4 linked regions of the Caenorhabditis elegans genome follow. The protein of the gene in region 3 interacts with the protein of the main gene of each other region in a pairwise test. Each region holds a gene or a part of one and is shown on either strand. Other genes may lie near its edges.

Region 1 (3,770 bases), on a different chromosome or scaffold from region 3:
CAATTTTTCAGGGATAAATAAACCAAATGAAACTGTTCGACCTGTCGCCGCACCGACATAATGTTTCCATCTAGATTACTAGAAAAATGGTGGCTCCGAGCATTTATTGCACTTGTTATTTTCTTCGTTTGGCAACTATTTTATGCAATTAATCGGGTACAAAGTTTGGAAGAAGAACGGGCCACTTTGCAAGCTACCGTGAGTTTATTTTTATGTTTCAACTGTTTTTCTGTAACTAAAATGTCACTTTTATCAAAATTTCAGTAATAATTTTCAGATAGAAGTTTTGACACGAAAAAGCGACGGGTTAAGAACGCAGATATTCGAAAAAGAACGAAATTTGGTTCGATTAAATGGGAAAGTTGAGGAGATTGATACACAGTAAGATTTTTTAAAAGTATTTATTCTTCTAAGAATATAATTACAGAATACGCGATCATCTTTCCCTCCTGCCACGTGTTAATCGTTCAACGCCTTTCATTTATTTTATAACTCCAACACATTTCCGCGCTGCTCAGCGAGCCGATCTCACTCGTCTATCCTACACGCTTTCCCATGTTCCCAACCTCCATTGGATCGTTGTAGAAGATTCCGATGAACTCACACCATCCATCGCCGGAATTCTGAAAAGATCAAAAATTCCAAATACACATCTAAATGCTCGAACTCCGTCTGATCAAAAAATGAGATACGATGACCCCAATTGGACGTTGCCACGTGGCGTTGAGCAACGAAATCGAGCACTTTTATGGATTCAAAATCAATTGAGTGGTGTGAAAGAGGGCGTTGTGTACTTTGGAGATGATGATAACACATATGATCTGAAAATTTTCGGAGAAATGCGGAAAGTGAAAAATGCAGGAGTTTGGCCAGTTGGAATAGTTGGTGGAATGTTTGTAGAAACGCCAATTTTAGAGAAAAATGGTACGGTTTTTAAATATTTCCTTAATTTATTTGAACTAGGTTTTAATTTTCATAACCAGTCCTTGCTTAAATTTTAAATACATCTTTTTAGGATCGATTTCCCATTTCAACGCTGTCTGGAAACCGGAGCGTCCATTTCCGATCGATATGGCTGCATTTGCAGTCAATATTTCTCTGGTTCTCTCCAACGCGAACGCTCTTTTCTCATTCGACGTGCCTCGTGGATATCAAGAATCTACTTTTCTTGAAAATCTTGGAATTCATCGTTATAATATGGAACCACTTGCGGAAATGTGCACGAAAGTGTATGTGTGGCATACGAGAACTGAAAAACCGAAATTGTCGAAAGAATCGATTGATCGATTGACTAAAAAGACAGGATTCAACTCGTTAGAAGCACATGCGCTTGGTGTGGATAATTAAGAAAAGTTCTAATTTTGTTATTTTTGTTGAAGTACCCATTTTAGTTTGATATAATTCATTTTCCACAGATTTTACCCAATGTACAAAAACCTACGAGTACCCTTTTATTGCATTTTGACTAACTTTCATAAATATTTTTCTTTACCTTCTTTTCAAAAAATTTAACTCCTCAACAGTTGTGTAGCTGTTTTTATTATTTACAAGTCTTTACTTCTTATACCAATTTTATTCTGTTCTGGAAAACGTAAAACTTATTCCAATTATAGATGGGAGAGCGTAAAGGACAAAACTTCTACTATCCGCCGGATTTCAATTACAAAACCCACAAATCTTTAAATGGATATCATGGAACCCACGCGCTTCGCGAACGTGCCAAAAAGATTGACCAAGGAATTTTGGTGATCCGTTTCGAAATGCCATTCAATATTTGGTGTCTTGGATGTCATAATCATGTTGGAATGGGAGTACGGTACAATGCAGAAAAAAAGAAAATTGGAATGTACTACACGACACCGCTTCACGAATTTCGAATGAAATGCCATCTTTGTGATAATTATTATGTGATTCGGACCGATCCAAAGGTATTTTCTAACTTAAGAAGTGGATGTAGTCTTTAAAAAAATATAATTCAAATTTCTAATTTTATCTTCAAAAATCTTCAAAAAAAATCATAACTTCAGAATTTCGACTACGAACTAGTGGAAGGATGCTCACGACAGGAACTTCGTTTCGATCCAACCGACATTGCACAAATCGGAGCAGTTGATCGTGGTTTTACTCAGAAACTCGCAGCAGACGCAATGTTTAAAAAAGAACATGAAGCAGAAGATAAAGATAAAGCAGCTACTGAAGAAGGACGAGTTGATAAGTTGGAATGGATTCAAGAGAGAATGAGAGACGATTTTACAGCAAATTCGTTTTTGAGAGCACAGTTTAGGGTAGGTTTTTTTGGCTTTTTAAAATCCATTTTTGGGAAATGCAGTTGATTTTTTTTTTAATTCTTTGAAAATTTTCAAAAAATTTATTAATTTTTCTTCAATTTTCAGAACGAGAAGAAATCCCTCAACGAAACTCGTGCTCGAGATGCGAATCTTCGTGATAAACTATCCATTGGAACGACTCAATTATTACCAGAAACAGAAGAGGATCGACGGATAGCGTCTATGATGACAAGATATCGAGATACAAAAAGTGAGTTTTTGCTTCTTTTATATCATTAAAAAATATTTACAGCTTTTAATTCCTGTTCAATAAAAACTATTAAATTACAGCTCACGATGATCACCTCGAATCTTCCCGCGATCGAATCGAATCACGTAGGATCTTCAGACGACCGGAAGAAACTGACACACCATCCACGTCTTCTGGATCTTCTGGAGGCGCTGTTCCATCCGCTTCCGAACGATTGAAGGCTACAATGAAAGCAGAGAGAGATAAACGAATCAATGCCTCATTTTCAACTGCTGGAACATCATCCGCGACTCAGAAACTTTTAGGAATCAAGAGAAAATCAGCTTCGTCTCTGGGTGTTCAAATTAAAAAAGCCGCTCCGGAAAACTCAAGTCTCCAAGATGAAGAACCTGCAGTGGAGAAGCCAAACATTTCAAACCCAATCTCACTTATTGCTCAAGAATACGGAAACTCGTCAGACGATTCAGATTAATTATTTTATCGAACGTTTAGCTGTTTTTTCTCTGTGAGAATTATCTTACTAATAATAATAAACACCCAGAACAAAAATTCCAATCTTCATTTTTACATACAATGCTCAGTTTAAAAATATCTTGTTTTTCTTTGGTGTATTATTCATTCGGCAGCAGACAACTTGATGACTGTCTCTCCAGAAAGCTCTCCTGGTGGCACTCCATTTGCGAACAATGGTTTTGGATCCGTGTTCTCATCAACTACCATACAGTACTGGATGATCAACTTGTCGGCTTGTGGCTTTCCAGGCTGAAATTTCAATGAAAATTATTACATAGAAGTCCAAGAATGAGAATTTCCGCCATATCTTCCGCGCATGGGTCTCACCATGCTGACAAAGGGCTACTGTAACTCGTGTCATTTTATGGGTCGCGATTGTATCATACGTTGATTAAAAAAATTTGGAAGCACTATTTCATTCGATATGAAAGTTATAATGCAATAGTGGAGCAAAACGTTGCGAAGTACAGTAACTTATTGTCAGCGTGGTGAGACCCAAACTTTCATCTTTAAACGGCTTCGTAATAGATTGTGTTCCTAGATTTAGAAAATTTATACCTTTCTGGTGATGACCAATTCCTTGACATCGCAAACTTTCAAGATTCCATAGATTAAGTTGACGCTGTAGTTTGAGTTGTTTGAGGATTTTACCTGACATGGTATTTTCAATTGACCAGTTTTCCGGCAAATAAAGAACCAACCTTATAAGCCATATGGCG
Region 2 (4,762 bases), on a different chromosome or scaffold from region 3:
CAAATGAAAAAAAATATGAAAGTGCAATAACCTCTGCTATTTCATTTACTTTACTTTTACTTCTCCACCTCCTCTCTCTTTTCTATTTCTCACGGCCTTAAACCAAAAAAAAAGGGTCTGTTTGGGGGGAAACGCGATATGTCCGCATTATAAATGAGATAAAATGAAAATGAAAAAAATGGAAGTAGGAGCTGGAGCGGTAGTAACCGCCGACAAAAAAATGAAAATGTATAGGCGAAAAGAAACTGCAAAAAGTAGCAGCAGGAGAGGAAGAAGAAGTGGAACGTGACGTTTTTTGGTGGCGGCAGCAACAAGGGGATCAGGAGAGGAAGAACAATGAGTTTAAAGCATGTTTGGACAGAATTATTGATGACATCTACCGAAGAGTAGAGAGCAGGGGAGAAGAAAGAGGACGGCAAAACGAGAGTGCAACACCCCATCCCTCACTAAAAAAAAGTTTTGGCACATTTTTCTTTCGTTTTTTTTTTTTCGTCCACTCCCTCGTGCCTGTTAAGGGTTGAAGTGGTTCGGTTCGACCACACGGAGAAGTGAGGCATGCTCTCGAGGAGCACTGGGAATGCCTATATCTTTGAAAGTCTGAAGTCTGAAGAAAAACTGAAGCTCTTTGAAGCCGATCTGAAAATCTTTTGCATCATTTTCAAATGGTGTCAGGCTGTCCTAATACAGTTTGATCTACAAAATCGGCGGGAATTTTTTTTTCAGAAAAATGTGACGTCAGCACACATGGTTAGCCATACGAAATCAGGGGAAAAGTTCTCCCGCATTTTTTGAAGATCAAACCAACATGGGACACTTTGACCCCACGTGGTTTTTTTTATCAAACAAATCAGTGAAAAAATTGTTTTGCATTTCTAAAATGGTTGACTGTAAGTATATTTTTAAAGCAATTTTAAAGACATCGGAAGTAGAAAAAAAGTGCTGAACATTTCAGATTTACTTTTTTCAGCTCAATATGCTTCAGTTGAGCTTCATACTTTTTCAGTATACTGTTCAAAAATTATATTTCAAATCAAAAAGGTTCCAATCAAAATTCCAAGATCAAGCTCAAGTAAACACTGGTAGCGCTACGATTCTTTGCCCTCTTCAGCAACCAATGATTATTTTCAGAATGGGCTCTCCGTTTACACACTCAAAAAAAACGCGCAAATATTCTGCATCATGGGCGCTGTCTGAATGCTCTTCCTCAAAATGCAATAAGCAGGAATGGGTTGCGGGCAAAACGCAGAACGCACTTTTGTTGGGGTTTGTTGGACCAAGATCAGCACATGGTGCCGAGCTAGAAGTGTAAAAGTTCTGAATGTGTAGTACTGGGCTCTTCGGGAGCAAAAATGAAAAAGGCACACACACATACACAGACATAGTCTCGCTTGAAAAGGTCCACGAACACAGAGACTTGGCATTTGAGATGGGTTACAAAAAAAAACGCTGACCGCGCGCCGCGTCACTTGCTCACTTTCCGTTTTTCTTATTTTGAAAAGCTTGTCGTTTTGGTGTGTATGGCATGTTACACTGAAACTGAGAAAACTTGACGCTTTGTGGTGAGCGACAAAAAAGGGAGAATTACTTTGCAATTGAAAGCCAGAGATCAAATATCTGTTAGATTCGCTTCAAAATTTTGGAATACAAACGCACAATTTAGCAGTTAAATTCAATTGCTCCAAAAAAAATTTTTTCTACACTAACGTTTTCAACACTAACTAAGAATTACTCAAGACTTACCTAACGTTTTACCTAATTTGAAAACATTTATTTCACAGAGACGATTGAAAAGTTTTAAATAGCGGAAATGCGCTCCTAAAATTTTAATAGAGTTTGTTTTGTTTCAATGACTTTCAGATCTAAATTTTCCGAAATTAGTTCTTGCAGACTATTAATGGCCACTGGAGTTTTGGGGAATAGGCAAAAACGGGTATTATTTAAACATGGAGTAGACACTCATTATGATCTAAAAAGACCAAATATCTTAATAATACAATTCAAAAAATTTCAGGCTTTTCATAATTTCCGGTTAAACTTTGGCAAATTTTCAGAATTTTGAAAAATAAGAGCTTTTGAAGAAATCCAAAGCAATTTCACATGTTCCGGGCCCTACAATGTTTTAATCCAAATAATTACTGTATAAAAAATGTAGAAACATTTTTTTGGTCGACTTCCAAAATTATGATTGGCAAAAACTGAGTAATTGTCACTTTTTGACAATAAATAAGTTTCATTATGATATGTGGTCATTTTGGGACCAAAGGAGTGGTTTTTAACAACTTTCCCACTGGCGCTACTCCACTTTTAAAGAAAAATAGCGAAAAAATTTTGCAATTTTTTAAAACATTCCGTTAAAAAATACCAAACATTTTACCGAAAAAAATATAATGTTCATAATTTTTTAATATGTTACTTTGAAAATTCTGCAAAGACCGATTTCGGAGCATATTCACAATTCTAAACAAAAATAAAAAAAAAAAAACTCCAGAAGTAGTTACGTGTTTAAAATATCTTTCATATTATGAATATCTGTATCCATAAACTGTGGCTGAACTGAACTCATAGAAACATGTAAAAAACATAATTGTGCAAAAATGGCTACACCACTGCATTCGAAAAAGTACGTTTTTGAAAAATTCATAATTTGCCTCTTTTAGCTCGGAAATAATTCATGATGAACGAATACTAAATGACTAGAGCAAAAAACAGGAAAAAAATTGTTCAAACGGTTAAAAGAAATTATGTATTACATAGTAAATGTTCCAAAAAAAACGTGAATAAATATTTGTAACCTGTTTTTTAAGCAACAAGCGCCAAAAACATTTTCCAGTCGATGCACCATGTTCGAAATCTAGTATTCCACATTTATTTTAGGCATATGGTAGGTAATAACTTTGCTCTTACAAAAAATATTAGAAACAAATCACAGAAAAAAAACATTTTTTGCGAAAAAGACACGTATTCAAAAAAAGGTACGTCTATTGAAAATTCATAATTTTTCCCTTTTCTATTTGTAGATGACGAGCGAATACTGAATGACTGGTGCAAAAAAGAAGAAATTAATTTTGAATTTGGAAAAAAAAGTGAGAAATAATTATGACGTACCTCCTTGTTGATAAAACTGGCCACGCCCCAAATTTCGAGGTTTTGGTGGGGGCATTGGAGCCTGCCGATTTCCAGAAGACATTGTGATTTGTGTCTCTGAAAATTGTAAGTTTATAAGAGAACAATTTGAAAAAAAAGATAACATATCAGAGGTAAAGAAACAAATGATAACATCAAAGACCTGATGGGATATAATCGGCCTAGTTAAGGTATGTTCTCAATTTTTGGGGGCTGCGGAAAAGTAGGGGAAAAAAAGAAGGCGAAAAAAAAGCGAGATGGACGTAAAGATGTGAAAAGTGACACTGTTAATTGGATATATATGTAAAGTGGACACAATCGTGACTGGCACTGGTGCACGTACTGACGTCTTGGAAGTTTTAGGTGTGTTTTGATCAAGAGTAATTAAATATATAAGGGGGCAAATAGCTCAGTCGGTAGTGGTGGCCGCTAGCAATCTGGAGGTCACGAGTTCAAGTCCGGCCTCACTTCCTAGGTTCACCCAGCCCCTATTGGGAAGTGGAGCAATCCAAGACTGGATTATCGGCCACAGTCCCCGGCTCGGACGTGGCTTAAATTACAACCCAGTGGGATCACCACCAGGCAGTGTACCTGAGTCCCAGATCCGCAGTGCATAGCACTTGGAGAACGGATCGTCCTTTGACCCTTTAATCTTTAAATAGTGAAAAATAGCTACCCTCGTATTGTTAGAAATATCGGATTTTACTATGATGAGTAAGGAAACTGATTGAAAGAGCATCGGAAAAAAAGATTAAGAGCACGCTTTCAAAAATACAGCTTTCTTCCAAAATAACCAAACAATGCACCTAAAACTTTCTATTAAAAAAAAACAAAAAACAACTTGTGTCCCCATTGACAATTCAATGTTTGAACACCAACTTCGGCATTCGAACTTGAAGCAAAAAAAAAACAGTTTTTCTTCACTACTATCTCTAGAATGCACACCATTCGTGGGCACACCGACCTAATAGAACTGTCCCCAGGGACGGATTGATCACGAAAAGGAAAAGGTCATACAACACACAATGCAGTCGTTCAGAACAATGTGATAACAAGAAAAAAAATAGAAGAGTGGGTGTACAGAAGAAAAGCAAGGAATGTTCTGGAAAAGTGAAAAAAAACGAACTTGAATACAGTGTAAACATTACATAGAACTAGGATTTTTTGGCGAAAACATAGAAATGGCGAGATTGTTCAGAAGAGACCCCAAAAGCTTTTGATGATAACTATTAGGACCTCCATGGAAGCGGCCGACACTTTTCGGGTTCCGCGCAGCACTAAGCAGGAGGCGCGGCTCGCGGCACGAGGCAGACGTCGCCTGCATGAAAGCCCTAATATTTATGTTTAATAAAACCACTGGTATTGCAAACTTTTTCGTGATTGTCATTGGGTTTTAATTTTAAATTGAGGGTAATGACTATAAAGAGGACTATGAAAAATTTAACTTCAAAATTCTAAACTTCAAAAACTACCGCAATACCAAAAATGTGACTCACTTATGATCAGTATCTGAACCGCCAAACCCATTTGCATTATTGCTTGGTAATCTAACACCCGAATGGCGGTAGACACACACACACGTCAAAAGTTAGGGTTCCATCCCGTCCCCCTCTCGTTAAACACATGTTTAATCTCGCCA
Region 3 (4,910 bases):
CAGCGGTTAAAAACTTGGCAAAAGTTTATGGAAAGCAAGCCAAGGCACTTGTCATGCCACATCTTCCAGAGGACTGCAAGGCTAAAACTGATGCTACAGATGATGCAGGAAAAGCTGCTGTCGCCGGAGGTTTCGACACGGTAATTTCGATTGAATTGTTATGATAAAGAATATCAATTTTCAGGGAGACTACCTTCCGCGCAAGAAACGCGAGCTTTTGTTCATCGATAACCTCACTGCAGCTTTCAGAGAAATGAGAAGCCGTCGTGGATTTTAAATACATTTAATTTGTTTTTCGTTTCTTGAAATTGAATGATAAAAAGCGTTAACGTCTTGTAATTTTTGGATTAATTTATGAGACTCGGAATTCGACCGCCACTTCTGACCCAACTGCCCCAAACCTAAGAATTTTGTTCAGAAGTTGGTAAAGGGTGAACAAAGCTTGGCCATGACTTGTCTCAAGAAATTTTTTTGTAAAATATAGGCCAACTTCCGAACTAAATTTATACTATATTTTCTGGCCAAATTGAACTATAAGTGCTCTTTCAAAAATTTAGTCATGTAAAAAACACTCACCCTGAATTATCTCCCAATCCTTGAGTTTGTTGAACATATTGCTCAGCTGCAGACTTATCGGAATAAATTCCCAATGGAGAATTGTATTGCATATGTTTCACACGTTGATCTGTTTCAAAAGGAAGTGCTGAATTGTTGAAACCTTGTGGTGGACGGGTCTAAAAATAATTTATTATTCACTATTTATTAGAAATTTTAAAAAATGTTATGCTATTGTCGTTAAAAACGATTACAAATAACGATTTTGTGTGAAGCTTCCTATTTCAAAACAAAACTCAAATGACTCACATCACTGCTATGCTGCAAATTGACACGATATGGGGTTTGATCCTGTCCTGGTCCAGTATTTTCAGTTACTTCTGGACGCCAAATTCTGGTGGCTGCACCGGATGGTTGCCTGAAATTAAACTTATTTGATATGAATGAAATCAAAATTTATTTATTTTCTATTTAATCTCTTCGATTAAATTTCAAATTACCATGGTCTTGGCGTCGTTGTGATTCTCACCATCACTTTTGAATCTTAAATCATTTCAATTGAACATGAAATATATTTATAGGAAAATGGGTAAACGTAAAGAAAAAGGAAACTTGCAAGTTTTTTTGTTCAAAAATGATAAACACCTGGAAAAGGGAAATATGTGAGAGGAAGTATTCAACAATTTCATTCTCTCAGTTTTTGTGTGCGAGAGGGTGAATAAATTGTTGGAACACTCTGATACAACAACAGAGAATGAAATAAAAAGAACAGTGTCAGAAGTACATTGCTTTGTCATGAACTGACTCATCATTAAAACCCTATTTATTTAAAATTCAACTGTTCAAAGTAAAACATAACATTCAGGAGAAAATTATGCGAATTCGGGAAAAGTAAAAGCCAAAATAATAATAATTGTCAAACTGTTTTGTTTTGGTATTTCTTAAAACTATACAGCAGTTTTGGAAAGAATCTTGAATGCTGTGGCAGTTATTTTTGGCAATTCTATAACATTTTTCCATGCAACTTTTTTTGCAGTTGCTTATGTAAAAAGTGCTCAAAAATAAGTTTAAAGGGGCAAAAATATCTGAAGCTTGTTAAAACTATCAACACAGAATGATTTTTGAGGGAAAAAGGTAACGAGCTTCAAATTTAATGACATTAGAGTGCTTATAAGAGGAGCAAAACTTGTGTTGCAAAGCTGTTGCAAAGCTAAAGAAAACATTGATTGGGACATTTGACCGTTTCAAAACAGTTCAAAACAGTTGCAACGATTTGTCATCAAACGGAATATGTATGTATAAATCCTAAGTCCCTCCTTCTTCCTGCAACGAGATATTCGGAAGAATGTTGCCTTCTGCTTCCCCCGTACCGATTGGCCTGATTCTTATCTGTTCGCCTGTTTATATGGCGGGTGTTCGCTTCGAAAATTTTGGATATCTATATTCTATTGCATGAAGCACTTGCTGTTGGAGATAAACTAAGACGCAGACGGATTAAAAACGGAAAGGTAGGATACATTGGTGATGTGATTAAAACGGAGAACACTTTGACTGGTTAATAAACGGAAATACAAACTGGTAAGTAACCTACTTTGAATTGCGTTGTGATAACAAAGCTACAGATTACATAACTAGGGTTGTGTACATTTTCAAGGGATCGATTTAGGGGAAATATTCGAGAAAATTATGTCTTTCTTATTATTTTCACACACCTGCTCTGTTTATATATAATTTTTATTTATTGTGGTCGACACAAATTTTGAATAATTGGTGCTATACTGATAAATTTGAAGTGTTTAACGAGATGAGTTACCTGGTAACAATAAGTTCAATCTTCTCATGAGCTGTAACTAGAAGTCTATCAACAGCGTTTATGTCCAAATTGTCAAGATCTTCCAAACGATCAACAACATCTCCATTACGAAGACCGGCACGATCAGCTAAGCTACCACCTATTACCTGAAATTTTCAACTTTTATTCGATATTCAACTTGTTTGAATTGAAGGCTCCCTTTGCTTTAAAAAATCCCCCAACGCATGTCAATTTTTCAAATTCATTTTTTCTTACGTTAACGACTAATCTCTCACTACATTTTGTCTATGAGTTTTGAGAGAAATTTTGAAAGCATCTAACTTATTGTAATAAGTGATGTTTTTTGTGTTGCTCTTCCGATTTTCCCTGGGCATGTCCAGAGGATAAAACTGCGAGAGAAAGTGAGGAAGGCGATGAGATTGTAAATCAGTTGTGGTGATGCGGTGATTTTTGAGATCGCGGTAAGAACCTAGAGGTGCTAAAAGTGAATGTGATGGGTTTTCTTGGTTTTTGTATTAAATGTATACGAAAACATATGCCTCAAGACTAATTTTTACGACAAATTTTATTGTGATTCAATTTGGACAAACTGACAAACTACTTTATGACAAATAGGGGGACACTTATACTAAATTTATAATAAAGAGCTTACATTAACAATAAGAACAGCTCCATCTGGGGCTTCTGTCACACCGAACCCCCATGGAGTTCGGCGATCCGAACGAGCCATTCGAACGGTCACACGTTCCATCTTGATTTGACTACCTGAAATTTTATTGTGTCCTGGTCAATAAAATAGAGCGAAACAAATAAAAATAAATCAAAGTTTCAAACAGAATTTAGTAGAACATGTTTAAAAAAATATTGTCCAACCGAAAATATTCATTTTGTTTCAAATGTGTACCACTTCAAACGCAGTTATTTGCTAAAGCGCAAACGTTTCAGTCCAATAGTTACACGAAATCTTCAATAACCACGTGGCGTTTATAGATGAAAAATTTTGCAAACATTTTGACATTTTGAATTTTTACTTTTAATTAAAAATTGAAAACAAAAAAATCGTATTGTTTTCCGTATAGTGCAAAATAGAAAATAAGAGTAAAAGAAGGGAGAGTGAGATTATGCTGGATTTTGTATATTTATCGACTGTCGGGCAATTTGACGGGGGAAATGGTAGTGAATGACTACAACAGAAAAAAAAAGATTGTTGAAAAAGTAAGATGTTTTATTTAAAATTAATAAAGAAATTCAATTGAAATTATGAAACTGAGCATAACGAGTTTTCTGATTCGATGAGTCATTCGTGATTGACAGTTAATTTTTTTTATGGAACTCTTATCGTTTAACGGAACATATAGTTTTAAACTACGTTTAAAAAACGATACCACACCCAATAATTGAAATTTTAGTTTTTTCCAATTTTTTTTTCATAATCAGTGTGTTTCATAATGAACACCGTATATTACCCCAGTTTTGTAGTTTTATTTCTAACTGCCAGTAACATTTTTTAAACTTTTAAAGAGGTGATACTTTTTGTAGGCCAATCTACATAAACTTATGAAAGTTTTATAACATAAAGTTTTATAACAACAAAGCTAACGATTTTTAACATGAAGTCCTGTATCTCCGTTTGCAACTTGAACATTAGTATTAAAGTCCTACAAACCAACCAAAAAAGAACTATTTGAACAATCTGGTAATGCTACTTGCTTTGAAGTAAAAAATAATTATAAACACAAAATACCACGAATGACGTTCTGAACTAAACTTCCTAGAGATCTATCGTATGTGAGCTAAAATGTTGGCAAAAAACAATCTTACATGATCCTAAATACATTTATCGAATTGCAGAGTACAAGTTTTATTCAAAAAAAACCGTGCCAACCTTAGGCATTGGTAGATTGCCGTTCATAATCTAAAAAGTAGTTTTAAACATTGTTTTCTTATATGAGATGGGTGATTTCAGATTACATCTTCAATTTTAGGTTGAAATTGCATTGTATCAAGTCTAGAAGTATACAGAACTAATGTATAAATTAAGACGGTTGAGTTCCAAAAAAAAATTCCAAAAAATCAACTTGGTGTTGTGTTGCGGAGGTGGGGGTTCTGCTGTTCTGAGGTCTGTGCGGATAAAGCTTCAGGCCCAACGGTGTACGGCACGCGCGGGCGTGAGCACATCCTCTCGCTCGAACTCTGACATTCTCTCGCTCTTCCCGGCGCGGGAAGCCTTCTCGCACTTCATGGCCATCTCCTCTTGAGCTCCCGAGAGCCGGGGGAGCTCTCGGAATGATATAGGGATGATTTTGAGGAGGCGCAGGTATTGGACGTGTTTGTAGTAAAGCGAGTGCGCGTTGCTGATTATCAACGAAAAGGGGAGGGGGATGGGATGATAAGAAGACCGAGACGAAAATGAGAAGAAATTTGGAACAAAAGTGCGATTTGTTTGAAAGAGCTTGAGACATAAAAGTATGAACACTTGTTAGAGTAGTTTGTGGTATGAAGTATAGGGTTTTTTCAAATCACAAAACGTTTACATTACCAA
Region 4 (5,007 bases), on a different chromosome or scaffold from region 3:
AATTGTTTGTTCCCGTAATAAAGCATTTTAAACGGAAAAATGAAAACAAAACATAAAATTTTCTAAAGACGAGGTAATTTCAATGAAGAATGCAAGGAATTAAGGAAAGTAAACTTGGAGGCAGCCGAAAAATTTAAACAATGGCTATTTACCATGAACCTTTTCTCGTGCCAAGACACTTCTGAATAAATGCTTGCTCCTTTAAAAATGCATGTCAAAGTCTTATGATTGAGTTTAGCGGTTATTTAGCGGCATTGAAAATCAATTTATTCGATATCAAAAGAGCGAAAGAAAAAAAAAGATGACAAGGATTGAGAGAGAGAAAGAAATCTACAAGTTGACTAGAAAAAATTGAAAATCCGTACTTCGAATCATGTTCATATAATCGTAATTATCCAGATGTTTGGCGATATCGTCTTTTCGTGGGGTTTTATCACAATCTACAAGGGGATGGCTAGAAAGAAGAAATACCATTTAAAGAGACAACGGGAGGGGGGGGGGGGGGGGGGGGGAAAGGTTTAGACCTCCTCGACCTTTTCAGCATTCTCGACGTCTTGATTCATGCTTCCATATCCACCATCAATGCTTGCCTAAATCGTTGTTCTATTTTCAACAACCATCAATTCATTTCCTCATCTTCAACCTTACCTTTATAAAACTATTTGCTGTCTCTGCTTGATGGCTTGATGAGTATCCCTGTTGTTGATCAGGCAGTACAAAGTGACTGACTTGTGGAAAGGGTTGAGTTTGAACTGGATCTACAATAACTTCAACTTCCGGATGAACCATTGGCTGGTATTGCATATATTGTTGTGGTGGTGGTGGTCCATACATATACTGAACTCCTTGAGGTCTTCGGTAATCTTGTGGCATGTACCGAATTGGACGAGCGTACTGTTGTGGTTGAACTACTGGTTGAGGTACATACTCATAGTAGGTTCCTCCCGGGGAGCACATTCCAGGCTCTTGGTAGTTTGATGATGGCATTGACATTTCTTCGAATACCTGATAGCCTGTATAGTTGGAGGTTGGAGGTTGTTGGATGTGAGCGTGGTGGTGGTGGTGATGAACCATCACTGATGGAGGTGTTCCACAAACTACTGGCACACTTTGCTCGTAACAGCCATGTGATATTCCGTTTGCCATTCCTCCGAAGCTCTCTGCTTTCTGGAAAATTTAGAGGTTAGAGTTTGAGAAGCGTTTTTTGCGCCCACGGCATGTGATCTTAAATTTTTCGAAACTCGGAAACTTATGGAAACTTATGAAATGTATGAGAGATACTCGTAAATCGACATGGCTGAAGCTCACAGATATTGACGGCCACACGTTCAATCTCAATCATATATTGATTCAAAATCTTGTAGCTTAGCGATCGTGAGAAAGTAAAACTCGACGCTGTTTCTTTTTTGAAAAATCGATTTTTCAGGCGAACTCTGATACTCACCCTCATCATTGGATGTTTTCCAGTGCACAAATAACTATTATTGGAGCAATCAAATGATCTTTGCGGTGCCCATTGATGTCCCTGTGGTCCACTCATTGGTGCAGTAACCATTGATTGTTGTGGGCAGTTGAGTGAAAGTTGTCGCATCGGAAGACCTCGAACATGATGTGGAGATTGAGGTTGAATAACTGATGGTCCAGTGACTGCTGCCACGTCAAATGATTGTGCCCTTCGCATCATGAGTAGATCATGATTAAGACTTGCTTGACTTCCATATTGACTCGTCGAATGATCACCGAATGATTCCATATGGTGAAGTTCCTTGCGGGATCCGCAAGTGTTTTGTCGTTTCAGTCGGTCTTCTACGTAATTATCGTGCCGGATGTAGTCGGTGAAGTTGTCATCAGGACTGGAAATTTGTTACTTTTCTAGTTAAAATCTGACAAGACCAAATAAAGGGGCTAAACTAAAACAGACAAAATATTATGATTTTCATGATACATACATCCGAAAATTAATCAACTCACATTTTGGTTTTCTCTGACTTGTTCACAACAATATCGGTCTGCTTATTCGTAACATTATGATCAAGACCAAACCACGCGGCACACCTGTGAAGAAGCATTCGGTGATAGGATGATGGAAGCTCGAATCTTTTCGATTGTGTGCTGAAAATTATCAATTTCAGACTGAAATTTTAACAAAAACGAACCTATCATCTAAAATAAGTTCTTTGAGTTGTTTTTCGAACTCCAGAAGCTGCTTCCGATCTTCTTCACTCTTGTGTAACGTGCGATCCACAAAATTCCTTAGATCAATGCCACTTCTGTCCGAGTACTCGGTTCCTGTGGACTCTCTGCTTAACGATTTCGATGTGGACCACAGTTTATTCTGTGCGAGACCCGGTGGGCGGAGTTTTGACACGTCACTGCTTTCTGCTGGCTTCTCCTCTTCTTTGCCTTCTTCTGGATGCTCTTCTATGCATGGGACCGTAGTATCCGAGTTTTCTGATGGGCTATCAGAAATTGACAGGAGAGATATTGGCTAAAAATTAAAAAATTTCAGTCGAAAACGACCAGATTTTGTCTATAAACTTACAAACATTCTTCGAAATTGGGTGAAAAATATGAATTTCAGCAGACTTCCTAACAGGAACTATTTCAGTTTTCAGCGCGGCCTATGACACAAAATCGGATCATCCTCTGATGATTCACAAGAGAGTGAGCTGATCAATATGATAATAAAATAATGTATTCTCCAAGCAGCCGACATTTTACGGGTTAGTGATAACTTTTAGCCGGCTTCAAGAAGTTGTGTACCTTAGCAGCATACACCATACGGGACAAGAACTACATCAGCAACGGCACCCATATTCGAAGTCCGACACTTCGCGGGACAATTTCCCACCTTCCCTTGAAATTGCTCACCTCTTCAATTGTTGCATTCTGTTTTGAAAGTCGTCTTCGAACACTTCCATTCCTCCGAACTCCCTCACTTTCTGTAGCTGGCACCGTCGTCACATTCATTGTCATTATTACCGTAGTCGATCGTCGCCGATCATCTTGTTTTGCGTCTTCAACATCGTCAAGCTCTGAATTATTCTCTTCTGAAACGTCGTTTTCGGTTGACATTTACACCTGAAAATTTGGTTTTTGTTGGAAGCACAGAAAAAGCAGAGGATGAGAATTTAAAAAAATAGGATTCAAGAAGTAGTACTACCAAAAAAGAGCAGAGTTTGCATGAAAATGGAGCAGTGGGTAAGCTTCAGCTGCTTTAGAGTCTCCGCCCACGAATGTCCTTCTCCCCCATTCAATGCTAAGCCCCGCCTTTTGAGAACCAAAAAACGAGACGAAATTTCGCAATAAAAAACATAAAAATGAATATAAATACATAATAGGCCTATTTTTTGAAAAGGTATAATAGTTCGAATAAGAAAAAGAAGAAGGTATTTAAAAATTAAAAGAATTTCCAAGCTTTTATCTATGCAGAGATAAGAGATACCAAATAAATGTAAACAAAGAAATCTGAGGTGAAGCAGAGGTTCAAAGAAAACGTGGAGGAAGCAAGAAGGGAGGAAGTTAAAGCCCGTTATAATTCAATTTGCGGGTGTTTCTTGCGTATTCTTGCAATAAAAATAAAAATTCTATTGCGAGTAATTCAAAAAAAAATTCGGTATTTCCACTTTTATGTATCTTCTCGTCTAATTGTAAGTTACATAACGTCAATTTTACAACTGTGGGTCTTGTAACGGAATCTCTCGTTTATTATAGCTTAAAAGTGCATTGAAACATGAAAATTAACATTTCAAACTGAACTCCAGTCTTCGCGGTGGGACCCAAAATTTGTTGAACCTAGGCAAAATTAGTAGCTTATAGAGTTCAAAAAATTAAATTTAAAATGACTCTTCGAATTACAGTAATCTAGTTTTTCCAATCATGTCCTACTTCCTACCGTATGACAACTTTATCACCAATTTTCTATGAAACAGGCAACTAAATAAGCATGAATTAACAACTAAATATCACTGATAATATGCAGTTTCCATCCATTTTCTCAAACATTTCCAATTATTTCTGCGAAAAGCTCAAAATCAGATCAAAATCATTTTCAAGGGGGATTTGTAGGGGATTAGAAACTGCCAAATAATGTGTTTTTGTGGTGGCTCACGGGTGGGAGTGCTCATCTTGAATAATAATGGGTGGGAGGAAATTGAGGTGAGGTTTCCTAACGGAAATTGACTTTTAGAACTTTTTCGGTATGAATCTCTGGAAAATATAGTGCAAACGTAGTTCTACATCCAAAAACTTGATAACTTGAAAGAATTGTAAAATTCTTAGAATTTTTATTTGAAAATTATAAATCTCTTTTGAAAACTTTCAATAAAAAGATACTAACGAGCGGAATTCAGAATACCGTATTTCTTCTATTAATATGGCCTCCCTATTAGACTTGCACTCCCTATTAGTATTGCACCTTTGAATTTTGAGATTTTTACAACATTTTTTGCCTACTTTGCAACAAATTTTTGGTAAAATTTCTATGGAATTGAAGTTATTGTACCTTTTTGTTGCAATTGCAATCAAATTTTCTGAATTTTTACATAAGATACGAGTTTTTTTCAGAAAAAAATAGTAAGCTCAAAGTCAGAAAAATGTTCTGAAAATTAGTATTGCACTCCCTAATAGTCTTGCACTCCCTATTAGTATTGCAAGCGGGAAGACCATCGAAAAATAGTATTGCAGCCATATTAATAGAAGAAATACGGTAGTTTACTTTTGGTTAGATAAATAATATTTTTTTGCAAAGTTCAAATATATGTTTTCTCCATTTGGCTATGTTGTAAACTCTATACTAAAAGTATAAACTAACTCGAAATTTTCATTTCTCACTATCAGAACATGAATAAATTTATCCACTCTATCTTTGAGACACAGAGTTTCATACTTGTATTCTATTATCGACAAAAAGAGCCTATGCAGATGTTTTTTCTTCGTCTACATTCAGCTTTGTTTCATACAAATGACGTTAACAATGTGCCCAACGAGAGAAATGGAAAAAGTGAA

What was found.
Region 1: the proteins of alp-1 (region 3) and ZK1307.9 interact in a two-hybrid assay, tested with the Caenorhabditis elegans proteins (3 studies listed by BioGRID).
Region 2: the proteins of alp-1 (region 3) and C09G1.4 interact in a two-hybrid assay, tested with the Caenorhabditis elegans proteins (3 studies listed by BioGRID).
Region 4: the proteins of alp-1 (region 3) and ZK121.2 interact in a two-hybrid assay, tested with the Caenorhabditis elegans proteins (3 studies listed by BioGRID).

The regions. Positions count from the first base shown.
Region 1 is NC_003280.10:9,647,878-9,651,647, forward strand, and holds ZK1307.9 (Coiled-coil domain-containing protein 130 homolog), read left to right. Parts: upstream 1-1,613; coding exon 1,614-1,928; intron 1,929-2,027; coding exon 2,028-2,285; intron 2,286-2,393; coding exon 2,394-2,538; intron 2,539-2,618; coding exon 2,619-3,010; 3' UTR 3,011-3,085; downstream 3,086-3,770. Other genes in the region: Galactosylgalactosylxylosylprotein 3-beta-glucuronosyltransferase sqv-8, read left to right, coding at 61-198, 278-381, 428-924, 1,016-1,347; ZK1307.4 (motile sperm domain-containing protein), read right to left, coding at 3,154-3,300, 3,610-3,702, 3,753-3,770.
Region 2 is NC_003284.9:15,993,735-15,998,496, forward strand, and holds the start of C09G1.4 (uncharacterized protein), read right to left. Parts: upstream 3,204-4,762; 5' UTR 3,188-3,203; coding exon 3,106-3,187; intron 705-3,105; exon of another isoform or gene 481-704; intron 1-480.
Region 3 is NC_003282.8:8,850,723-8,855,632, reverse strand, and holds the start of alp-1 (PDZ and LIM domain protein Zasp), read right to left. Parts: upstream 3,134-4,910; 5' UTR 3,120-3,133; coding exon 3,021-3,119; intron 2,515-3,020; coding exon 2,369-2,514; intron 1,104-2,368; exon of another isoform or gene 1,088-1,103; coding exon of another isoform or gene 1,056-1,087; intron 974-1,055; coding exon 865-973; intron 735-864; coding exon 577-734; intron 338-576; exon of another isoform or gene 278-337; coding exon of another isoform or gene 185-277; intron 141-184; coding exon of another isoform or gene 1-140. Other genes in the region: T11B7.5 (uncharacterized protein), read left to right, coding at 1-140, 185-277.
Region 4 is NC_003281.10:5,339,758-5,344,764, reverse strand, and holds ZK121.2 (R3H domain-containing protein), read right to left. Parts: upstream 3,084-5,007; 5' UTR 3,076-3,083; coding exon 2,872-3,075; intron 2,489-2,871; coding exon 2,157-2,488; intron 2,113-2,156; coding exon 1,972-2,112; intron 1,854-1,971; coding exon 1,445-1,853; intron 1,168-1,444; coding exon 649-1,167; intron 591-648; coding exon 519-590; 3' UTR 506-518; downstream 1-505.